Regions from separate parts of the Mus musculus genome. Here regions 1, 2, 3 and 4 are each reported to be linked to region 5. The links are microRNA targets in miRTarBase. Many come from high-throughput screens and were not tested one by one. Region 5 holds a microRNA gene; each other region holds the end of a gene's coding sequence.

Evidence for each region. The annotated mature microRNA mmu-miR-669c-3p reads UACACACACACACACAAGUAAA and lies in region 5 at 2,187-2,208, opposite strand. An mRNA with a match to its seed (bases 2 to 7 or 8) in the 3' UTR can be bound and repressed. Matches are read on the target gene's strand: a 7mer-m8 pairs with bases 2 to 8, a 7mer-A1 pairs with bases 2 to 7 and ends in A, and an 8mer does both.
Region 1: miRTarBase lists St6galnac5 as a target of mmu-miR-669c-3p. The part of its 3' UTR that is shown has no 7-base or 8-base seed match.
Region 2: miRTarBase lists Npbwr1 as a target of mmu-miR-669c-3p. Seed matches in the 3' UTR shown: 7mer-A1 at 489-495, 7mer-m8 at 793-799, 7mer-m8 at 795-801, 7mer-m8 at 797-803, 7mer-m8 at 799-805, 7mer-m8 at 801-807 and 11 more.
Region 3: the mRNA of Tcf12 is a reported target of mmu-miR-669c-3p. The part of its 3' UTR that is shown has no 7-base or 8-base seed match.
Region 4: the mRNA of Erlec1 is a reported target of mmu-miR-669c-3p. The part of its 3' UTR that is shown has no 7-base or 8-base seed match.

The regions. Positions count from the first base shown.
Region 1 is chr3:152,817,828-152,821,827 of GRCm38, forward strand. It overlaps St6galnac5 (ST6 (alpha-N-acetyl-neuraminyl-2,3-beta-galactosyl-1,3)-N-acetylgalactosaminide alpha-2,6-sialyltransferase 5), which reads right to left. Exons shown (of 5, transcript NM_012028.5): 5 at 2,058-3,915. The coding sequence ends at 3,684. It also overlaps a transcript of Pigk not described here. Among named protein-coding and RNA genes, the nearest start is that of Gm40181, 64 kb to the left of the region's middle.
Region 2 is chr1:5,912,595-5,916,594 of GRCm38, reverse strand. Npbwr1 (neuropeptides B/W receptor 1) reads left to right here. Exons shown (of 1, transcript NM_010342.1): 1 at 1-2,888. The coding sequence ends at 291. Among named protein-coding and RNA genes, the nearest start is that of Npbwr1, 2.8 kb to the left of the region's middle.
Region 3 is chr9:71,846,044-71,850,043 of GRCm38, reverse strand. Tcf12 (transcription factor 12) reads left to right here. Exons shown (of 21, transcript NM_011544.3): 20 at 119-272; 21 at 3,484-4,000. The coding sequence ends at 261. Among named protein-coding and RNA genes, the nearest start is that of Cgnl1, 76 kb to the right of the region's middle.
Region 4 is chr11:30,928,312-30,932,311 of GRCm38, forward strand. Erlec1 (endoplasmic reticulum lectin 1) reads right to left here. Exons shown (of 14, transcript NM_025745.3): 14 at 1,473-3,537. The coding sequence ends at 3,466. Among named protein-coding and RNA genes, the nearest start is that of Erlec1, 24 kb to the right of the region's middle.
Region 5 is chr2:10,507,415-10,511,566 of GRCm38, reverse strand. It overlaps Mir669c (microRNA 669c), which reads right to left and starts at 2,271; the gene lies at 2,163-2,271. All of the region lies in intron 10 of Sfmbt2 (Scm-like with four mbt domains 2), which reads right to left. It overlaps Mir467d (microRNA 467d), which reads right to left and starts at 3,937; the gene lies at 3,853-3,937. It overlaps Mir466 (microRNA 466), which reads right to left and starts at 3,649; the gene lies at 3,577-3,649. It also overlaps Mir297c and Mir669a-2.

The DNA of each region.
Region 1 (4,000 bases), not on the chromosome of region 5:
GTGAAGACACGGGGGCTCAGGAGAGGCAGGAGGATGAAGGACAAGGCTACTCAGTGTGAAATGCTCAGAACCAGAGAGAAACTGGGACCTTCGTCAGGGAGACCCAGAATCACTCCCCAGGGCAAACATTTGGAGAGGTACAACACCGGAACACAGCATGTCTGCATCCTAAAAGAATTTCTACATTTCCCCTCACTTCCTACCATTCACTTGCCTTCTAAAAGTTCCTTGAAATGTGAAATAATCATGTTTATTTCAATATGAGATTCTCTGTCTCCATTCTAATTGAGTTCAGGTGGTTCAGAGATGCCATCTTTGAAACACGAATCTGGCAGTGACCTAAGGGTACCAAGAGGCCACACAAGTGTATCCTTTAGGCACAGGGCTTGGCAGTCTTTTTCATTTGGTTTTATGAAGGTCTGAGCTTTTCTTAGGACCTGTGTGTCCCTGAATTGATCCGTTTCTGTGCCCAGTCCGAAGGAGTATAGAGCAGGATGAACGAAACAGGGGGCTCAGCTCCCTAACACCCACGTATGCGGAGGGGAATCACACAGCCAAGTCCCCATGCAGCACACTGAATATTTACCTCCTAATGTGCTTTTAATGTGCGCTTTCTTGGGTGAATATTTACTGTAGAATATTAAATGTGAGATTCCTCTTTTTATGGGCCATTTGAAGTGATTGATTCTGTTTGCGAATTCCTGTATCTTTGCCCGTAATGGCTATCTATTGTAATGGCCTCTGCCAAATGTTCTTGTGTTGAAATAACAGAAGCCATGGATCGCCCAGCTGTGGCATCGTATTATTGTGGTCTTAAAAGCTGGGAGGAGGCTGATGATAGCACTGGGGAGAGACGAGAAGGGAACATACCAAGCCAAGCGAGCAGGGCTCCAAATACCCCGGAACCACTGGGGTCTGTAAGCAGGGTTGTGTGTCCTGTGTATGTTTAATGGTGTTGGGTGGCATTACGTCGGACGGTTGTGAAATGATAGCGGTAAGACAGGAACTCAATTGCCCACAACCAGGTCCATCAGCACAAGCCGTCCGCTCTCGGCGTCTTCTTTAATGCAGCGGTAAAACTGTGACCCAAGTGATCATTTCTTACACTTAGCTACACTATATTATAGCCACAAGTGAATTTAAAATATTTTTCTGTGAAAGAGCCAAGACTTTGGGCGTTTGGTTGCTTTTTATTCTTTTGAGTATTTGAGGGAAGGAAATTAGACAAAGGGCGTATCTTGATGTTCATTGTGGGCTTTTCTCCCTTAAACACACACACATACCATACACACCCACATACCCACATATACACCCCCACACATACACACACCACACATACACTCACACCACACACACATACATACCATACACACATACCCACATACACCCACACCCACATATACACACACCACACACACATATACACACACACCACATCCCCACATACACATACTAGCCCCCCACATACACACATAAACACACATACCATATACATACATACATATATATATGTATGTATATATATATATATATATATATCACCACATACACACACCACATATATACACTCCACACACACACATATACACACACATTGCACATACACACACATATATACACACACATAAACACACACTGCACACAAACATACATACCACACCAACACCCATACACGAAACCACACACACATACGCACACCATTCCCCCCATACAGACACACATACATACACACACACACACACACACACACACACACACACACACACCACCCAAAGATACTCAGACAGTAAGATAGTAGATCAGGTCAGATAGTATTCTTACCCCTTGGTAGCTATGCTTTTCCAATATTCCATAAGCATAGGATTTGTCAATGGAACCACTTATATTTCAACAAATAATCTCTTGGAGGGATTGTGAAGTAGCCTGTCAATCAACTGTGCAGTTTACACCCTTCTTCTGTGTATATAAGAAGACTAAACAGGAGGTTGTGCTATGGTAAAAATAAAATTCATTTTCCTACAAACTCAGAAGACACTTGAAGAATGAATTCCACTATGTCTTGGACAGCCATTTAATTTTTTTCTTTTTCTTTTTTACTGACTTTAAATAACTCAAGCCACACCACAATAACACTTTGTCTTTGCTGTCTGAATACCTGGACTGTATCTGCAGCTCCACAATGGCGCCCTGCATAATGAATAGTTCTACTTAATGAAAGGGCATGGGACATTATCACTAATTAAAAAGATGGGAAAGAACTGGTGGTATGAGACACTTTATTCACAAGTCCTGTCCTGTTTGTAGAGAATGCCTGTTCCCTCACGACATTAGCTGCTGCCCTCAAGCCTGTCATTAGACACACTAAAGTCCCTTTGGCACGATGTAAAGAAGAGTCTAGTATTTCTTACTCTTCTGAGCGATACAAGTTTCTAAAATGAAAGTCTATAGTACTACTTGATCGTGGATTTGAATGGAGAGAGGAGTCCTTCATATTCCAAGACTTGCAGCCGGTGGGGTGGAACTGTTCTGTGTTCTCAAAACATGGGCAGCTCTTGGCACTGCCTCCACCCCCTGCCCCCAATTTCTCACTTTCTTAAAGAATCTAGGGATAGTAGTTAGGCAAGAGAGCCCCAGGAGGAGGCGTGATGTCTACCCAGAGGACCCTGACATCTCTACCCTGACTGGAAGTTTCCTCCTACTGTCAGCCCCACATCAATCCAAGTGTCTAGTCCTCCTATAAACGAGAGGCTCTGACTATCTTAGATTTGCAAGAGGAACTCGGGACTTTATCCTACATTCTAAGGAAAGGGGAAGTAGAACTCAAAGAGAAATAGCTTGTATTATCAGTTGCTACTGAAGAAAAAGTAAGGGTATCTTTAAATTTCTCTCATTAGCATCTTTTTGTTTTAATAACACAGTTTTTGGGTTTCAATTTTGTTCTTTTGGACATTTATGTACATTAGAAAGTGTTATAGCTGTTTTTGTTATGAAACAGCAAATTGCCTGAAGCAGAGAGGTTCAAACAATGTTGCACATTTCCACATCAAATACTGATTTCAAGCTAGTAATGGGCATTGTGAATTCAGTAACTCATCAGCCCGATCCTAGCCCATACCAACCACCATTCAGGATTAAAGAGTCAGGAAGAATACATTGCCACATAATCATAATCTATAAAAATACTGCCTAGAGTACACTAAAAAACTCTCAATAAATAAATAGCAGACATTTGCTTTATGAAAATCATTGGAGATGTGCTCTTCGGAAGCATGTCCATACTTTCAGGCCTTTTACAAATCACAAAGTCTGACAAATGACAGAGACTATAGGTCAGGTTAGGTTTCTGATAAAAAAGTCTTTTGACGTGGGTATCTGTAAAGAAATGCAACTAAAAGTGGCGGGCTGCTCCCGGTTCAGTTTCGAAGGCAATACTCCCAGAGACCTGGGGTGTTCCTAGCCATGGCAGTGTCACTGAATCAAGGCTTCAGTTGCTCTTTCCAAGAGACAACACTCATTAGCATGTAAGCGTTCTGGAATGTTCTCTGGCCGCTGGGATCTGTCCATGGTGCTGAAGGACGCCGCTCTTCTCGGTCACCCATTCAGTTCCCGTTTCCCTGCCTAGAGTTTAAGTCCTTCCTCTCCTGCCACACAGCGTGGACACCGCTGTCCACCATGTTCACCCCTCAGAACACAGGCTTACCCTCGGCATGATTCACAGCGGGTGATTCTGGTTTCCAGTCTGGTTGGAAAAAGTGAATGTTGAATGTCCGTGCCCAGTTCTTAAACACCCGTTTCTCTGTAATGAAACGGTGATGACTGCCCTTGCGTCCTCGCTCGTGAGAGAGGTACATTGTACATTCATCGGGTCCTGAAGGCTCATAGTAATGATAGGGTACGGAAGGATGCTTTGGGTCCCTGTGGGAGGAAAGTGGGACAACTGTTAAAGCAAAAGAGAGGAAAATAATGCAAACACCCAAGCCATACCCGACATGGAACACAC
Region 2 (4,000 bases), not on the chromosome of region 5:
GCTATCCAGCTAGATAGCCACGCCAAGGCCCTGGATCGTGCCAAGAAGCGCGTGACCTTGTTGGTGGCGGCGATTCTGGCTGTGTGCCTCCTCTGCTGGACGCCTTATCACCTGAGTACCATAGTGGCCCTCACCACCGACCTCCCGCAAACGCCGCTGGTCATCGGCATCTCTTACTTCATCACCAGCCTGAGCTATGCTAACAGCTGCCTCAACCCTTTCCTCTATGCCTTCCTGGACGACAGCTTCCGCAGAAGCCTCCGGCAATTGGTGTCATGCCGTTCAGCCTGATGCCCTTTCCACCTCTTTCCACCGCAGGCAGCACTGCCAGCTGGGTTCAGGAGAATTCCGGGACTGTGGTTCCCAAGTGCAGCCCGAAATCCTGAGGCCCATTCCAGGCATTCAGTACCACAGGCCCTACCCAGGACTGATACCACAGGCCCTAACCAGGACTGATCCGGGATTTGCCCGGCCTTGAGGTGAGGCTGGTGTGTAGCATGCCTGAGGACAGCTTGGGCCAGGGCACCTTACTATTTTGTCCCCACAGCTGAGGGCAGGGCTTGACACCTGAACGTAGGGTAAATGGTGGGGCAGTGTTGTTGGAACGTGATTTTAATTCTCTCTCTATTTCACTGTGAGTAGGCTCCTAGGATGTCCCAGGCATCTCTTCCTCAGCGTTAAGTCTGTGTATTTTGTTTCTTTGCTTTCCACCACGGATGACCTCCCTGGTAAACAGCCTGGCCTGATGCTTCTTAGGAACACTCTAACTGCCTGGCCACGCCTCACTGGAGATGTGTGTGTGTGTGTGTGTGTGTGTGTGTGTGTGTTAGAGTGGAGGTGTGGTGGTGTGGAGGTGTGGTGGTGTGGTGGTGTGGTGGTGTGGTGGTATGGTGGTGTGGTGGTGTGGTGGTGGTGGTGAAGGGGGCTAGAACCTAGCTGTGACTGACAAGAATAGAGATAATCACCTGCTCAGTATGCCCCACCTTTCTTCGTTTTACCGAAGCCGATCTATATGGCCCTAAAAAGACTTTAACCGAGGCTGCAAAAGCCAAGAGTACAGAGAAATCACCGGAGAGTGAGGTTCCAGCTCCCTCTAGAGGAGTCAGGTGTACAGAACGTTTCTGAGCTGCTTTTGCACAGGGTGGTGCACCAGCCAACAGCTCTTTAAATCTTTGGTCCTTTGTAGCTTCTGTAAAGTAGTCCAAAATTTCCTTCCTGCCTCATAGCCTTCACAGGCTTCCCATACAACTTAGACCATTTCCTTGTAACTATGTACAGTTTTTCTGGACCAAGAACTTTGTAAATAATACATATATCTTACTCTCACAGTCTTCTTAACTTAGAGGAATATGAGAAATAAAAGATGAGACCTGTTCCAACTATGGTTCCCCTTCCCTGAGTATTCTTCCAGGACCTCCCTTCAGTGAGATCCAGGTACGGGAACCGCCTTGCATCCCTAGCTTTTTCTTGTCTGGACACTTACCTAACCACAAGGAACATCTAAATTTTGTCCAATTCTAAAGTCCCGGGGAACATCTGCTTCTGATTACCCACAGGGAACAGTCAACACCTACTTTCCTCTCTTTAGTCTCTACTTATGGAAGACAAGCTCCAGGCCTCCTCCTCGAGGCCTGGAGTAACCAGACTCATCAGTGATAGCGTCTTTTAAACGATATGTTTAGGATGATCCCCAGGAAGAAATGATATGATTTTCAAGTATCATTTTTCCTATGGGAAAGTTTGGTTATATGTGGAACCAAGACTCTTGCCAGCAGACTTTGTTTACAAAGTTTGGCATGAAAGTCAATTATTTCTCAGTTATTTGTATTCAATGTTCCCTTCAAAAATATGCAGAAGGGAAATACTCTCTCTTGCAAGAGGAAGGCTAAATTTCCCTCTGATTTTGGTGTATGAGAATTGATTGGTTCCTACGGTGTCAGAGTTGTGGGAAGATTGGGGTAATTTTCAAGTACAAACTGAGAAAACTAATTTAGAGGCTGTGTGTCTTGGGTGCAAATAACAGTAAATTGTCTAAAAGTTGTCCATCAGTCATGCACTTGAACCATGGTCATCATGGCCTCAGAACGGGCCTCTGCTGTGGCCTTCAGAAGTGTCTGGAATGTGTTCATAAGCTTCAGACTTCTGGGAAGCACTCCACAGATATTTCTTTTAAAACTTAAATTTTGTATGATTTTCTGTAATTTTTCCAAATTAGGATTTTAAAATTGAGCAACCTGTAGCTCATCCAGGGTGATAATAAAGGATGCAGTGGAGCTTTGGACACAGATACAGCCAAGTACTGTCACATTAATTGGAAACCCAGTCTCCATACATGCAGCAGCAACATAGATAAGAAGGAGGTCCTGGTAGTTTTCTGTCTGTCATGCCATTGCTGCTAGAGATAGGTTTATGTCTGTCTTGCAGTCTCTGGATGCTGCCGGAAAAACACAAGAGAGATATAACTGTACCCATCACAGCTCAGTACAGACTGGAAGTCTAGTTTGCATCAAGAGGATTCAATATCAGTGTCACACTGGCTTTCTAAAGCCCCTCGTGATCACTTCACCTTTCTGTGAGCATTTGGGCAGTTATATATAAATAAATATATAAATATAAGGCATCTATATTTAACCTTTTATCTCTTAAGTAAAACATAGAATAAATAAACAAGTCACATAGTAGGAAAATTTGTAATTCCATAGTTCTTACAGCCTTGGTGTAAACTATGTTGTTTTAACGCTTCTAATATCTAAAAGTGTGAATTTGGTTTTACTTATTTTAGTATAATTGTATAAAGTGGGTTTAATGCTTTCTCAAGAAATGCAGCAATTTGCTAATTGATTGCAGAAGATCCAAGTCTAAAATAAAAGGTGAAACATTCTGTGTGACAAGTGTATATTGTGTTTCAAAAAAAAAGCCTACCAAAAATAAAATATAAACAACTGCAACAACAGCCACTTACCTCCGAAAACCAAAACAACTAAACAATCAACCAAATGAACAAACAAAAAAGGACTCTTATGCCATACAATGGGTATGTATCACATGAATAGAAAGCTAAAACAAGCAATGCCAAGAGAAAAGAGTGGAGAAAGATTACCTGCAGCAGGTGAGTGAGCTTGAGAAATGGTACCAGGCCATGCTTTCATTGGAACTGGGAACAGCAGGGGTTTTATTCGGAAAGCCTACAGATATGCATATGAGAAAGCACTTCAGGGACATGCACATCTGAGCATACTCAGTTAGATGGATGCAACTAAGCATGCTCAGTTAAAGGTTATACTTTATTTTACTTTTAAAAACTGCTTTATTCATTCACATTCCAGATGTTGCTCCCCTTCCCAGTCTTCCCTCCAAGAGTTCTTCACCTCATCTGCTCTCCTCTTTGCTCCTTCAGTCTTTCCCCTAACTCTTCCGCAGGGATCCCAACATCACTCCAATGGTTGGCTGTAAGCATCTGCATGTGTCTTAGTAAGCTGCTGGTAGAGCCTCTCAGAGGACAACCATGCTAGACTCCTGTTTGCTATCACAACATAATAGTGTCAGGGTTTGATGTCTGCCCATGGGATGGATCCGAAGTTGGGCCGGTCACTGGATGACCTTTCCTTTAGTCTCTGCTCCAATTTTGTCCCTGTATTTTCTTTAGACAGGAGCAATTCTGGATCAAAAAGTTTGAAGGTAGGTTGGTGACTCCAAACCTCCACTGGAGGCCCTATCTCTCTACTGGAGGTGGTCTCTTCAGATTCCATCTCCCCACTGTTGGGTATTTTGGCTAAGGTCATTCCCATTGATTCCTGGGAGCCTCTCACATCTGGGAGCCATCTAGAGATTCCCCTTGATCCCCACTCTCTCAGCTGCAAATTTCCATTTGTTCTCCTGACCCTCTGGGCTTTTCTCCTGTCTCCCCCTCTAAAAACACCACCATATCTGATCATGTCCCACTTCCCTTCCCTCTCCCCTCTCCCACTCAGACACCTCTCTTTCTATGCCTCCCATGATT
Region 3 (4,000 bases), not on the chromosome of region 5:
GCCAACAGACACCAGTCAGGCCTAGAGATCCAGCCTCACTGCCACTTGCCTTACCCCAGCTCCAGTCCCTTGGTTTGCCTTTTTAAATAGTGATGCTAGCTCTCTCCTTCTACTGTAGAGAGGAACCTCAACCCCAAAGCAGCCTGCCTTAAGAGAAGAGAAGAAGAAAAAGTCTCTGCTGCGTCAGCAGAGCCGCCCAACACGTTGCCAGGAGCCCATCCTGGGCTTAGTGAGTCTACCAACCCTATGGGTCATCTGTAAACATCAGCCAGGTGAGTGTGGGTCTGAGAGGGAGGTATAAGGACATCACTTCATTTTACAGTGGTTAGACTGCAGAGCAGCAGCTCTCTGTGGTGGGCCATGGTGATTGTAAAGGCCACACATAATTTGGTAAAGTTATGTAATTGGGAATACAATGATCTATGGGCCTTCCTCTTGTCTTATCAAAGCCAGTGTCATTTTAGAGCAATTACTGTTCACATTGTTTGAACAGCTGATGGCTCATAAAGAAGTGCCAGGTCTGAGTCGGCATGTGTTGTGTGCTCATGCTCCAAGAAGAGGACATCACAGTGACTCCTTTCTCAAACTGTCCCTGTTCCCACCCTCGCTCCACATTCTTCTTGTCATAAGTACTGGGTTCGACTCTTTTCCATGACTGTACACTTCCACCTGGGTCCTTGGATGGAGATTGTGAGAGCAGCTGCTGTGCTCTTCTAGTCATGAATTGAGCACACTCTAGAACCCACTGAATGTAAAGATGTGAGGCGATAAACCCAAAGTAGCCCTCTTTGCTGGAGTTTTACTTACAAAGGCTTAGTTGCAAAGTTAATATTTAAGAAGCTGATCAATGTGAGCTATAATTAAATATTTCAAACTAGCATTTTAACTAGCATCATGGATTAAGAGAAGAACTGGTAATTTTATTTTTAAAATGTTTGGGTTTTGGTTTTTTTGTTTTTGTTGTTGTTGTTGTTTTTGGTTTTTTTGTTTTGTTTTGTTTTTGAGACAGGGCTATACTATGTAACCCTCTCTGGCCCTAGAACTTACTCTGTAGACCAGGCTGCCCTTGAACTCACAGAGATCTGCCTGCTTCTACCTCCCAAGTGCTGGGATTGAGGGCATGTGCTGCCACTCCCAACCATGACTTCATGTTTATAACCAGCTTTAAGCATTATATAATTATTTTCTTATATTTTTCAACAGATTTAAAATAGTAGAGGCAAATGGATGGAAGCAGAAATTATACCAAATATAGTTTCTCATTTTGAGGTAAAAGTCTGGAAATTGATAGAATAGTTAGTAAGTAAACTGCTCTTTAATGTCAGATTTGGTTTATGCCACCACTCCTAGGATCAAATTAGACTGCAGTGGAAAAGGGGAAAAGGAAGATAGGTCAACATGCTGGTAGTCAGTTATCACTGTAACCGCAGCATCCTGGAGGGAACGCCTAAACCACTGCCCACAGATACCTCCAGTCATCATGTAGTCACAGAGTCCTCAGGCAAGAGCTTGTTAATTCACACATTCTCTAAAAGGCAAGCCATTGACCTATATTTTATAGAAAACAGAGTCTAGGAAAGTAATGAATCCATCTTATAAATAAATGTTGGTGTCTTTCGATAAAAACACACCACTGTTTCTCAGGGCAGAGGTGAGTTTTTAAGTTGATAGGTCTAGAAGATCAGTAATGAGAAACAGCTTCATACAAAGCTCAAGTGCTGAGCTTCCCTCAGACTGAAAAGAACTTAGAGTCAGCATCACACTGGACGCAGAACCTGTCTTGTTCCCTGTCTACTGTCGTTCTCTCTTAGTTACCTCCAGATCTTTACCTGTTGTACTTCCTGCTGCGTTGGGATCTCTAGCCTTATCTTTCTGTATAATATGGTAACATTCTCACCGAGAGGCCGAGGAGATGGCTCAGCGGTTATAAGTGCTTGCCATACAGGCTCGACAGCCTGAGCTCAAGCCCCGGTATCCACATGATGGAAGGAGAAGCCTACTTCTGCACATTGTCCTTAGGCCACCACAGGCATGCAGTGGCAAATGTGCTTCTGCACTTGCACTAATAGTAACAGTAATTTAGGGAACGTACAAAAATATCCAACAATTTGCCACCAATGTAGAACCAAGTAACTTTTTTTTTAAAGATTTACCTATTTATTATATGTGAGTACGCTGTAGCTGTCTTCAGACACTCCGGAAGAGGGCGTTAGATCTCACGGATGGTTGTGAGCCACCATGTGGTTGCTGGGATTTGAACTCAGGACCTTCGGAAGAGTAGTCGGTGCTCTTAACCGCTGAGCCATCTCACCAGCTGTTACCAAACAGTATTATTGCCTATCATCTAATAAGAAAGTGGAAATATGATTTTTCCTAATTATATTCCTATTATAAAAGGTTGTAATGGCATTTTCAGGATTATTAAAATATACATTGTAATGGGAATGTATATGAATGTATAAAGTTTGAACTAATAAGATAATTACTTAAAATCTTTTTTTTTTCTTCTCCCCGAGATAGGGTTTCTCTGTACAGCCCTGGCTATCCTGTAACTTGTTCTGTACATCAGGCTAGTCTCAATTCACAGAGATCTGCCTGCCTCAGCCTCTGGAGTATGGGGATTAAAAGCATGCATCACTACCGCCCATCTATTTCTTAAATTCTTTAGATATATACTTAGTGGGAACCTACCATGGACCAGCAGCTAAGACTTCATAACTTTCTGTTGAGGAAAAATAAATATAAACCATTAACATGGGTGGGCTGCTGAGTGGGTGGACTCTAAGGTCCGGTATTGCCAGCTCACCTGCTCCCAACATGAGTTTGCATAATTGGCTGACTAAGCTGATGTACAAACTTTTAATGGAAGGTTCCCTGTACACACACATGGTAAAACTCTTGCAATTACAGACCTAGTCCCTTTCCTTGGAAGTTTCACTTTCCATGATTCCAGTTACTTAGAGCCAACAGTAATCCATAAACAATTTGCAATGAAGGCTGGGCATGGTGGCACATCCTTTTCATTCCAGCATTCTGAGGCAGATGCAGGGATTATGAGCTCTAAGTTAACCTGGTCTTCATAGCAAATTCTAAGCCAGCCAGAGATACGTGAGACCCTGTCTCCAAAAAGGAAACATAGACTTATAATGTTATGTGCTCTGTTTTATTGTTTATTGTTGCCCATGTACTACTATGCCCAACTTGTAAACTTTATCCTAAGCATTTATGTATAGGGAAAAAAATCACGGTGCAAGTAAGATAATGTGCACAGTTTCAGGCATCCAGTGAGGATCTTGGGCCATAGCCTTTCAGATCAGGAGGGACTTCTGATACCTAAAGGCTCTTGAGTAAGTCACTTGAACTGGCCTAGCGCAAACCTAAGTATAATGAACAATAACTGGGATTTGTAGAGTAATGTTATTTTTAATAATTGTTATACTTTATAATCAAATATACTAACTGTCCTCTTCCTCCCTGTCACAGTTCCAGAGTCATCAGTAGGCTAAATAGAAGGTGACCTCTCCTCATAAGATTTGGACAACTCAGATTATCTGAAGACACAAACCTGGCAGGAGGGAGAAGAAAAAGCAAAACACTTGAAACCAGAAACTCATATGTAATCCTGTGATCAAAGCAACTGGTCAGCACTTCATCAGACGTGAGCATAGGAAGCTCAGCAGAGACCGTCGGCCGTGAGGTGTTTGCAGCATATCACTCTGCTGTAATCAGTGTGTCGCTTCTGCACAATCAGAGACTGTCTCATCTCTCCACTCAACGTGGAAGTTGCCTTGTGCCTAAACTGAATTGACAAATGCATTGTAACTACAAATTTTATTTATTGTTATGGAACTGTGAGGTCTACATATAAAGGGAAAAGTTCATGTGGGAAGCTGATGTACACTCAGCTGATGCCAGCATTGTTAAAGCTGTTCACAGAGCAGTGGCAACCATTGGCCCTTAGCATTCCCGGCATACCTGTTAGTGTCTTAAAAAGGAAGGG
Region 4 (4,000 bases), not on the chromosome of region 5:
GGAAAACATAATCTAGAAGGGATATGGGCATACCTAGAGTAGCCCTCATCCTTATCTTACCTTCCTACATGTCAGAATTGGATAGCAATAAACTCACAAGTGCTTTAGTTTCCAGGTAAGCAGATGGAGCTGTCACTCCCAGGGCTATTAAAGGTGTCCTCCTCTAACTGGGTCCAAATTAGGTTGCCACATCTCTTCCTCAGTTTAGGAAGTTCAGTAAGTTCTTGCTGAATTTCTTGATACAATTTTAACATACATAGTTGTGTGTGATATTAATTTGACAAAATTATAGTGTTTTTACTTTATCAGTTGTGCCTTGTCAGTGATGCCAGATGGATTGTGTTGTTTGCAAAGTACAGAGTCACCCATCTGTCTTTGTTTCTGTCTACTCAAATGCTGCTTGTAAAATGGAGTCTCAGAGTTGAGGCACAGCCTGAAAAACCAAGATTAACAGAATATAGCTTGCTTTCAACATCTATGCTGAAAAATCACAACCCCTAGACAGTCTCCAAATGAGGCCATTTACCAGAAGGACCAAATGATTGTCAAGGCTGGAACTTCAATCCCATCCGGTGATCCCTCTCCTGCTCCCTCTCCCCCCCCCCCCCTTCTGTGTGTGTGTGTGTGTGTGTGTGTGTGTGTGTGTGTGTGTGTGTGTATTAGGGAAGGGTGGGTTTCACGCTCCATATAAACTTTTGAATTCTTGAGATCTGGAGAGTATAGAAACTGAACTCTAGCCCAACCTCCTCGCCTTATTTACCTCTTTAATTTGACTTTATTAGTGCTTCTCTCCTTTATAACTGTTAAACTAAGTATTTACCAGAGTTCTGTGAGCCATTCTAGCAAACTTTTGAGAAAAAGTAGTAGGTCTGGAGACTGATTTATAGCTGTCTGGTAAAAGGTATTAGAATCCAGGGACTTCATAGATGGTTCGGTGTTTAAAAACACTTGCTCATCTTTCAAAGGACCTGAGTTTAGTTCCCAGCACCCACTTTGGGTAGCTCCCAACTTCCTGTAACTATGTGGTGCACATATAGGCAAATAGGCATGCATACACACACACACACACACACACACACACACACACACACACACACACACACACACACACACACACACGTATATAAAATTAGAACTTGGTACTTGCAATATTTGTAGCTGACATCTGATGTGGAGCAACTTTGTAAGGTTGAATCCTTTTTACCTGTGACATATGATGCTAAGTCCAAGTAGGTAAGCATGAGAACTAAAATTAATTGTAGGGTACCCAAAGGTGCTGAGTATAGTTGGTGTAGAATAAAAAAGTTTACATATTTTTTGTTATATAGGCCATTCTATGCTATGTAGGAATAACTGATTACTTAGTATGTAGACCAGGCTGGTTTCAAACTCACAGTAACCCTACCTGCCTCTGCTTTCTCAAGTGGGCATAAAAGGTATGCCCAGCTTGCTTTTTTTTTTTTTTTTTTTTTAAGAAAGTGTCTCATCTCATTCACTCTTTCTAGATTAGCCTAGAATTCACAGTGTATGGCAAATCAGATTGGTCTCAAATTCATGGCAATACTTCTTTGTTTTCCAAGTTCTGGGGTTAAGACACTATGTTGAGTCATTTACTTTTTTCTTTTCTTCATTTCTTGTGCTGTGCTGGAAATGGAATCCAGGATCTTGTGTTTGCTAAGCAGTCTGCCAATGAGCTGCATCTCCAGTCTCCAGCCAGATTCTTTCACCTCCTAGACTTACCTTACTGCTGTGATCCCTAAATACAGCTCCTCATGTTGTGGTGACCTCAACCATAAAACTTTTTGTTGCTACTTCTAACTGTAGTTTTGCTACTGTTATGAATCATAATGTAAATATGTTTTCTGATGGACTTAGGTGACACCCCTCCCCCATGAAAAGGTCATTTAACCCCTAAAGGGGCCATTACCCACAGGTTTTAAACCACTGTCCTAGACTGCTTTACCACTAAACCCCCCGCCCTAGCAATAAAGGCATTGAATTAATTAAATCAATTGTAGGATACCCAAAAGTGCTGAATGTACTTGGTGTAGAATAAAAAAGTTCACATATTAATTAATTATTAACTAATTAATTAATTTCTAAGACAAGGTCTCCTGCAGCCCAGGCTGGCTTCAAACTCACTATGTAGCAGACTTTGAACTTCTGATTCTTCTAGTATCTACTTCTCAAGTGCTGGCATTACATTAATTAATTAATTAATTAATTAATGCCATGCCATTAGGCCTGGTCATAAACCCTTTCTTAATATAGCTTTTATCAGAAATACTGGTTTTCAGGAGTATCTGGACCACCTTTTATTTTGACTGTTTAAGATAGGCTTTCAACTTTGTTGCCCTGGTTGGTGCAGAACTGGCTATCCTTGGCGTAGACCAGGCTATCTTTGAACTTTCTGATCCCCTGAATCTGTCTACTTAGTGCTGGGAACAAAAGCATGAACCCCAATATCCAACTTTTTATTTTTGTTGTGGGAGACTGAACTGAGGGCCTCAAACATGCTCTGCCTCTAAAGTATTCTCTCAGTCCCTATGGCCACTTTTTTGTCCTTGTTCAGATTCATATGGATAAAATATATGCAAAAAGGATAAAGGAGAAAATAAAGTAACTGAATAATCTGCCACTAATTACATGAAAAGACTGCTTAATAACATTTTATTCTCTTTAAAATAAATATTGTGCTGTAAAGCTGTCCAGAACTAAGATTTATACTATACAGCAGGCACGTACGAGAGCCAGCACAGTGAATTTTAGAATGAACCATTCTAATGTAGAGATGAGTCACGAACTGTCTGCACTAGACATGTACTCTGTAGTAAACTCATTCATGGTAAGAATCATAAAAGTTCAAGAAAAAGAGCAACCTCTCATTTAAAAAAAAAAAAAACCAGTTTCTTGAGTGATCTCAGGTTATCTGTGAGGCTCTCCTCTATTTCCACTTCTAGTTTAGTGCTTGACAGCGAGCAACTGTCACAGAAACATTTGCTGAAAGGATTTCAGGCACTAGAATTTTATACATTTTATGTGGCCCCTCATTTTATACAATCTTCTAGAAACTTCTTTCTAAATTATCTTTACTTCATTAGCTTGTCATATGTGCTGTAATTTATTCAGTAAGTATATTATTTAAAATACTTTAACAAGTACAAGGTATATGACATTTGATAAGCTGGACTAAACTGCTTGGATCAGATTTGTTTTGAAATTACATTACCCAAGCAAAGCCAAACGCAATCAGTTCATACAAGACCAAAATGAATGAAGTGAGACAAGGATCTGCCTTACAAGTTTATCTGTAATCTCTTATATACACGTGAATTTCACAGTGTGGTTGCCAGTCCTTTTTGTGATACTACAGACAAGGTCCAATGGTGAGACTCTATAAAGAGATGTGGTCAGGAGAAAGTGATGATTTTCAATCATCTTTCTTTCTTTCAACTTTAATATCTTTTAATTGGGGAGAGAAAGAAGTCCATTTTCATCAGCTGTATCTAGAATTTTACAGATTACTGGAGATTCAACCTGAAGAATAATAATATTAGAAAGTTGGTAAGGTGAACATTTCCTCAGTATCTTCTCAAAGAATATATTTGCTAAATATGTAAGATCCTGGTTTGGATAAACCTCCCAACATTTTCCCTACAGATTAGGCTCTTTTCTCTCTCTCCCCAGCCTCCTTCCATTTTTTCTTTTGAGATTGTGTCATGCTATGTATTCCTCCCTGACTAGCCTTGAACTTCTCTTTTGGCAATCCTGAGTGCCAATTTTCATGAAGCCTAACATAAATAATAAAGCTTTCTGAAAAACAAGTTTAGTCACCCATATAAAAGCATTATAGCTGAAAATATTTTTATTTCTCAGTAAATATGGTAAAGGAGACAGAAAGAACAGGAATATAGAAGTTTGTAACTAGAGTTACATCACTAAAACAGGAAAACACTATGGCAAAACTATCAGTTCTATTTATAAGGCAAAGTAAACACTA
Region 5 (4,152 bases):
CTTTTGACTAAGAGCACTCACTGGCCCAGCACAGCATAATTTCTAAAACTCTAAGTCACCTGTCATTCAAAATGATTGATGGGTGTGTGTGTGTGTGTCTGTGTATCTGTGCTACTTCTATATGTTTGTATGGATGTATATGTATATGCATATGCACACATGCACATGCACATAAACTATACACACATAAACATACATTGGGGGGAACCCCGTGAAGTCAGGCTGATCTCTATGTCATTTTGAAATTACTCATGAATTTGGACCCCTGATCCATCTGAATATAACAAACATTTTTACTGGTAAGTAAGACGTTTCATTGGCCCAGTAATACATACTCTTAAAGCTCTAAGTCATATATCATTCAAACGTAACGACGAATGCAATTTCTTCTGTGTGTGTGTGCCTGCATATACACGTGTGTTTATGTTATGTATATTCATATCAACACATGCACATGCACATACAAGTAAGCACACATGCACATACATGGGTAGCATCACAGAAATACCAGGATGATCTCCAACTGAAATTAAGCATGGATTTGAACTCCTGATCCTCCTGACTCTGTGGTTTACACCTGGTGATTGAGACCATTCACTGTCCCACTACTGCATAATCTCTAAAACTCTAAGTCACCTATCATTCAGATGGATCGATGAGTGTCATTCCTGTGTCTCTGTGTGTGTGTGTGCTTGTGTTTATATGTATGTGCATGTTATGTCTATTCATATACACACATGCACATGTACACAAAACTATACACCCATGCACATACATGGGTGGCAATCACATGAATCACAGGCAGATATCTATATCCTCCTGAAGATAAGCATGAATTTGAACTCCTGATACTCCTGATTCTAGCAAGCATTTTTACCTAGAAAATGACAGCACTCACTGGCCCAGTACTGAATAATTTCTAATATTCTAGGTGGCATATCATATAAATGGATCTATGAATGTTATTCGTGTGTGTGTGTGTGTGTGTGTGTGTGTGTGTGTGTGTGTGTGTGTGCACGCTAGGGTTTATATGTCTATGTATATGTTATGTATATCCATATAGACACATGAACATACACACACAACTATACAAACCTGCATGTACACTTAAGGCATCACATGAATCACAGGCTTATCTCTAAATCATGCTGAAGATAAGCATAAATTTGAACTTCTGATACTCCTAACTATAGTAAGCATTTTCACCTAGAGAATGAGAGCACTCACTTGCCCCATACTGAATAATCTCTACTACTCTGAGTGGCATATCATTTAAATGGGTCAATGAATGCCATTCCTGTGTCTGTGTGTGTGCTTGCGTTTATACGTGTGTGTGTATGTTATGTATATTCAAATATAGACATGAACATGCACACACAACTATACACACATGCACATACATGGAGGAATCTCAGGCTGATCTCTCATGAGGATAAGCATGAATTTAAACTCCTGATACTCTTAACTCTAGCAAGCATTTTCACCTAGAGAATAAGAGCACTCACTGGCCAAGTACTGCATAATCTCTAATATGCTAAGTGACATATCATTCAAAGGGATCGATGAAAGCCATTCTTGTGTCTCTATGTGTGTGTGCTTGCGTTTATACGTGTATGTTATGTATATGCAAATACATGCATGAACATGCACACACAACTATATACACATGCACAATCATGGGGCCATCACATGAATCACAGGCTGATCTCTAAATCCTCATGAAGGTCAGTATGTGTTTTAACTCCTGAATACTCTTAACTCTAGCAAGCATTTTCACCTAGAGACTGAGAGCACTCACTGGCCAAGTACTGCATAATCTCTAATACTCTAAGTGACACATCATTCCAATGGATTGATGAGTGGCATTGGTGTGAGTGTGTGTGTGTGTGTGTGTGTGTGTGTGTACTTGCATTAGTGTGTGTATGTTATGTATATTCAAATACAGACATGCACACACAACTATACTCACATGCACACACATGGGCGATATCACATGAATACCAGGATGCTATCTAGCTGAACATAGGAGTGAATTGGAACTCCAGATCCTCTTGACTCTTTCAATCGTTTACAACTGGTGAGTGAGACAATTCACCGTCTCTACTTCAAAATCTCTAAAACTCTAAATCACTTATCATTCCAATGGATCGATGAATGGCATTCCTGTGTCTGTTTGTGCACTTGTGTTTACTTGTGTGTGTGTGTGTATGTTATTTATATGCAAATACACACATCCACACACAACTATACACACATGCACATACATGGAGGCATCACATGAATGCCAGGCTGATCTCTAACTCATCATGCCGTTAACATGAATGTGCACTCCTGATCACCCTGAATCTAGCAAGTCTTCTCCTGGTGACTGAGACCTCTCTCTGTCAGCCCCAGTCATACAGAATCTCTAAGACTCTAAGTCACTAATTATTCAAATAGATGGATGAGTGCCAATTTTTGTGTGTTTGTATGCATGTTTGTATGGGTATGTGTGTATGTATATGTATATTCATATACACACATGTACATGCACACATACATATACACACAGGCATATATACTAGGGTCATCACAAGACTCCGAAGCTGATCACGAACTCATCATGAAGTTCAGCATGAATTTTGATTCCTGGTCATCCAAAGTCTGGCAAGCAAGCATTTTCACCTTGTGAGTGAGAGCACTCACTGGCCCAGCCCTGCATAATCTCTAAAGCTCTGAGTCACCTGTCATTCAAAAGGATCAATGAGTGACATTCCTCTGTGTGTGTGCGCGTGTGTGTGTGTGTGTGTGTGCGTGCCTGTGTGTTTATGTTTGTCTGTATGTAGATGTATATTTGTATACACACATGTACATATACACAAAACTATACACACATGCACATATATGGGGGGAGGATGCCATGAGGCCAGGCTGATCCCTAGGTCATTTTGAAGTTATTCAGGAATTTGAACTGCTGATCCAAAAGGCAAGCGTTTTACCTGGTAAGTTAACTGAGACATAGCTCTGGCCATTCCTGTGAGTGAGTGTGTGTGCATGCGTGTATATGCATATTCATATAGAGAAGTGTATGTGCACAAAGCTATACACACATGCACATTCTTTATGGTCATCACATGAATAGCATGCTGATCTCTAACTCATCATGAAGTTAAACATGAATTTGAACTCTTGATCCACCTGACTCTGTGGTGTGAGACCTCTCCCTATTGAGTACTGCAGAATCTCTAAAACTCTAAGTCACATATCATTCAAATGGACTGAGGAGTGGCATGCGTGTGTGTGTCTGTGTCTGTGGATGGGTCTATGTGTGTGTAGGTATGTATATTCATATACACAATCCACACACAGTTACACACATATACACATACATGGGGACATCACATGATTCCCAGGCAGATCTCTAAGTCATCATGAAATAAAGCATGAATTTGAACTCCTGACCTCCTGATTCTAACAAGCATTTTTAACATGATGGGTGATAACTCTCCCTGACCTAGTCACACATAATCTCCAAAGCTCACAGTCACATAGATCAATGAGTGAGTGCCATTCCTGTGTGCCTGTGTGCTCATATGTGTCTTATGTGTGCGTGTATGTATATGGATATCATATTCACATATGTACATGTACACACACATAAACACATATACACATACATAGGGGCAATCACATGAATGCCAGGATGACCTCTAACTCATCATGCCTTTACCATGAACTTGCACTCCTGATCTTCCCGACTCTACCAAGGGTTTTCCCGTGGTTTGTGAGACCTCACCCTGGCCCAGTCATACATAACCTCCAAAGCAGTAGGTCACATATCATTCAAATGGATCCGTGAGGGCCATTCCCGCATGTCTGTGTGCATGTGTGTGTAGGTGTGTGTATGTATATGCATAAAATATACACGCATATACATGCGCGCACTTATGCACACAGGCACATACATAGGGGCCATCACATTATTCCAGGATGATCTCTAACTGCTCATGAAGTTAAGCATGAAATTGAACTCCTGATCCTCCTGACAATGCCAATTGTTTACACCTTGTGAGTGAGACCATTCACTGTCCTTCTACTGCATAATCAGTAACATTCTAAGACATATATCATTCAAATGGATCGATGAATGCCATACCTTGGTGTGTGTGTGCT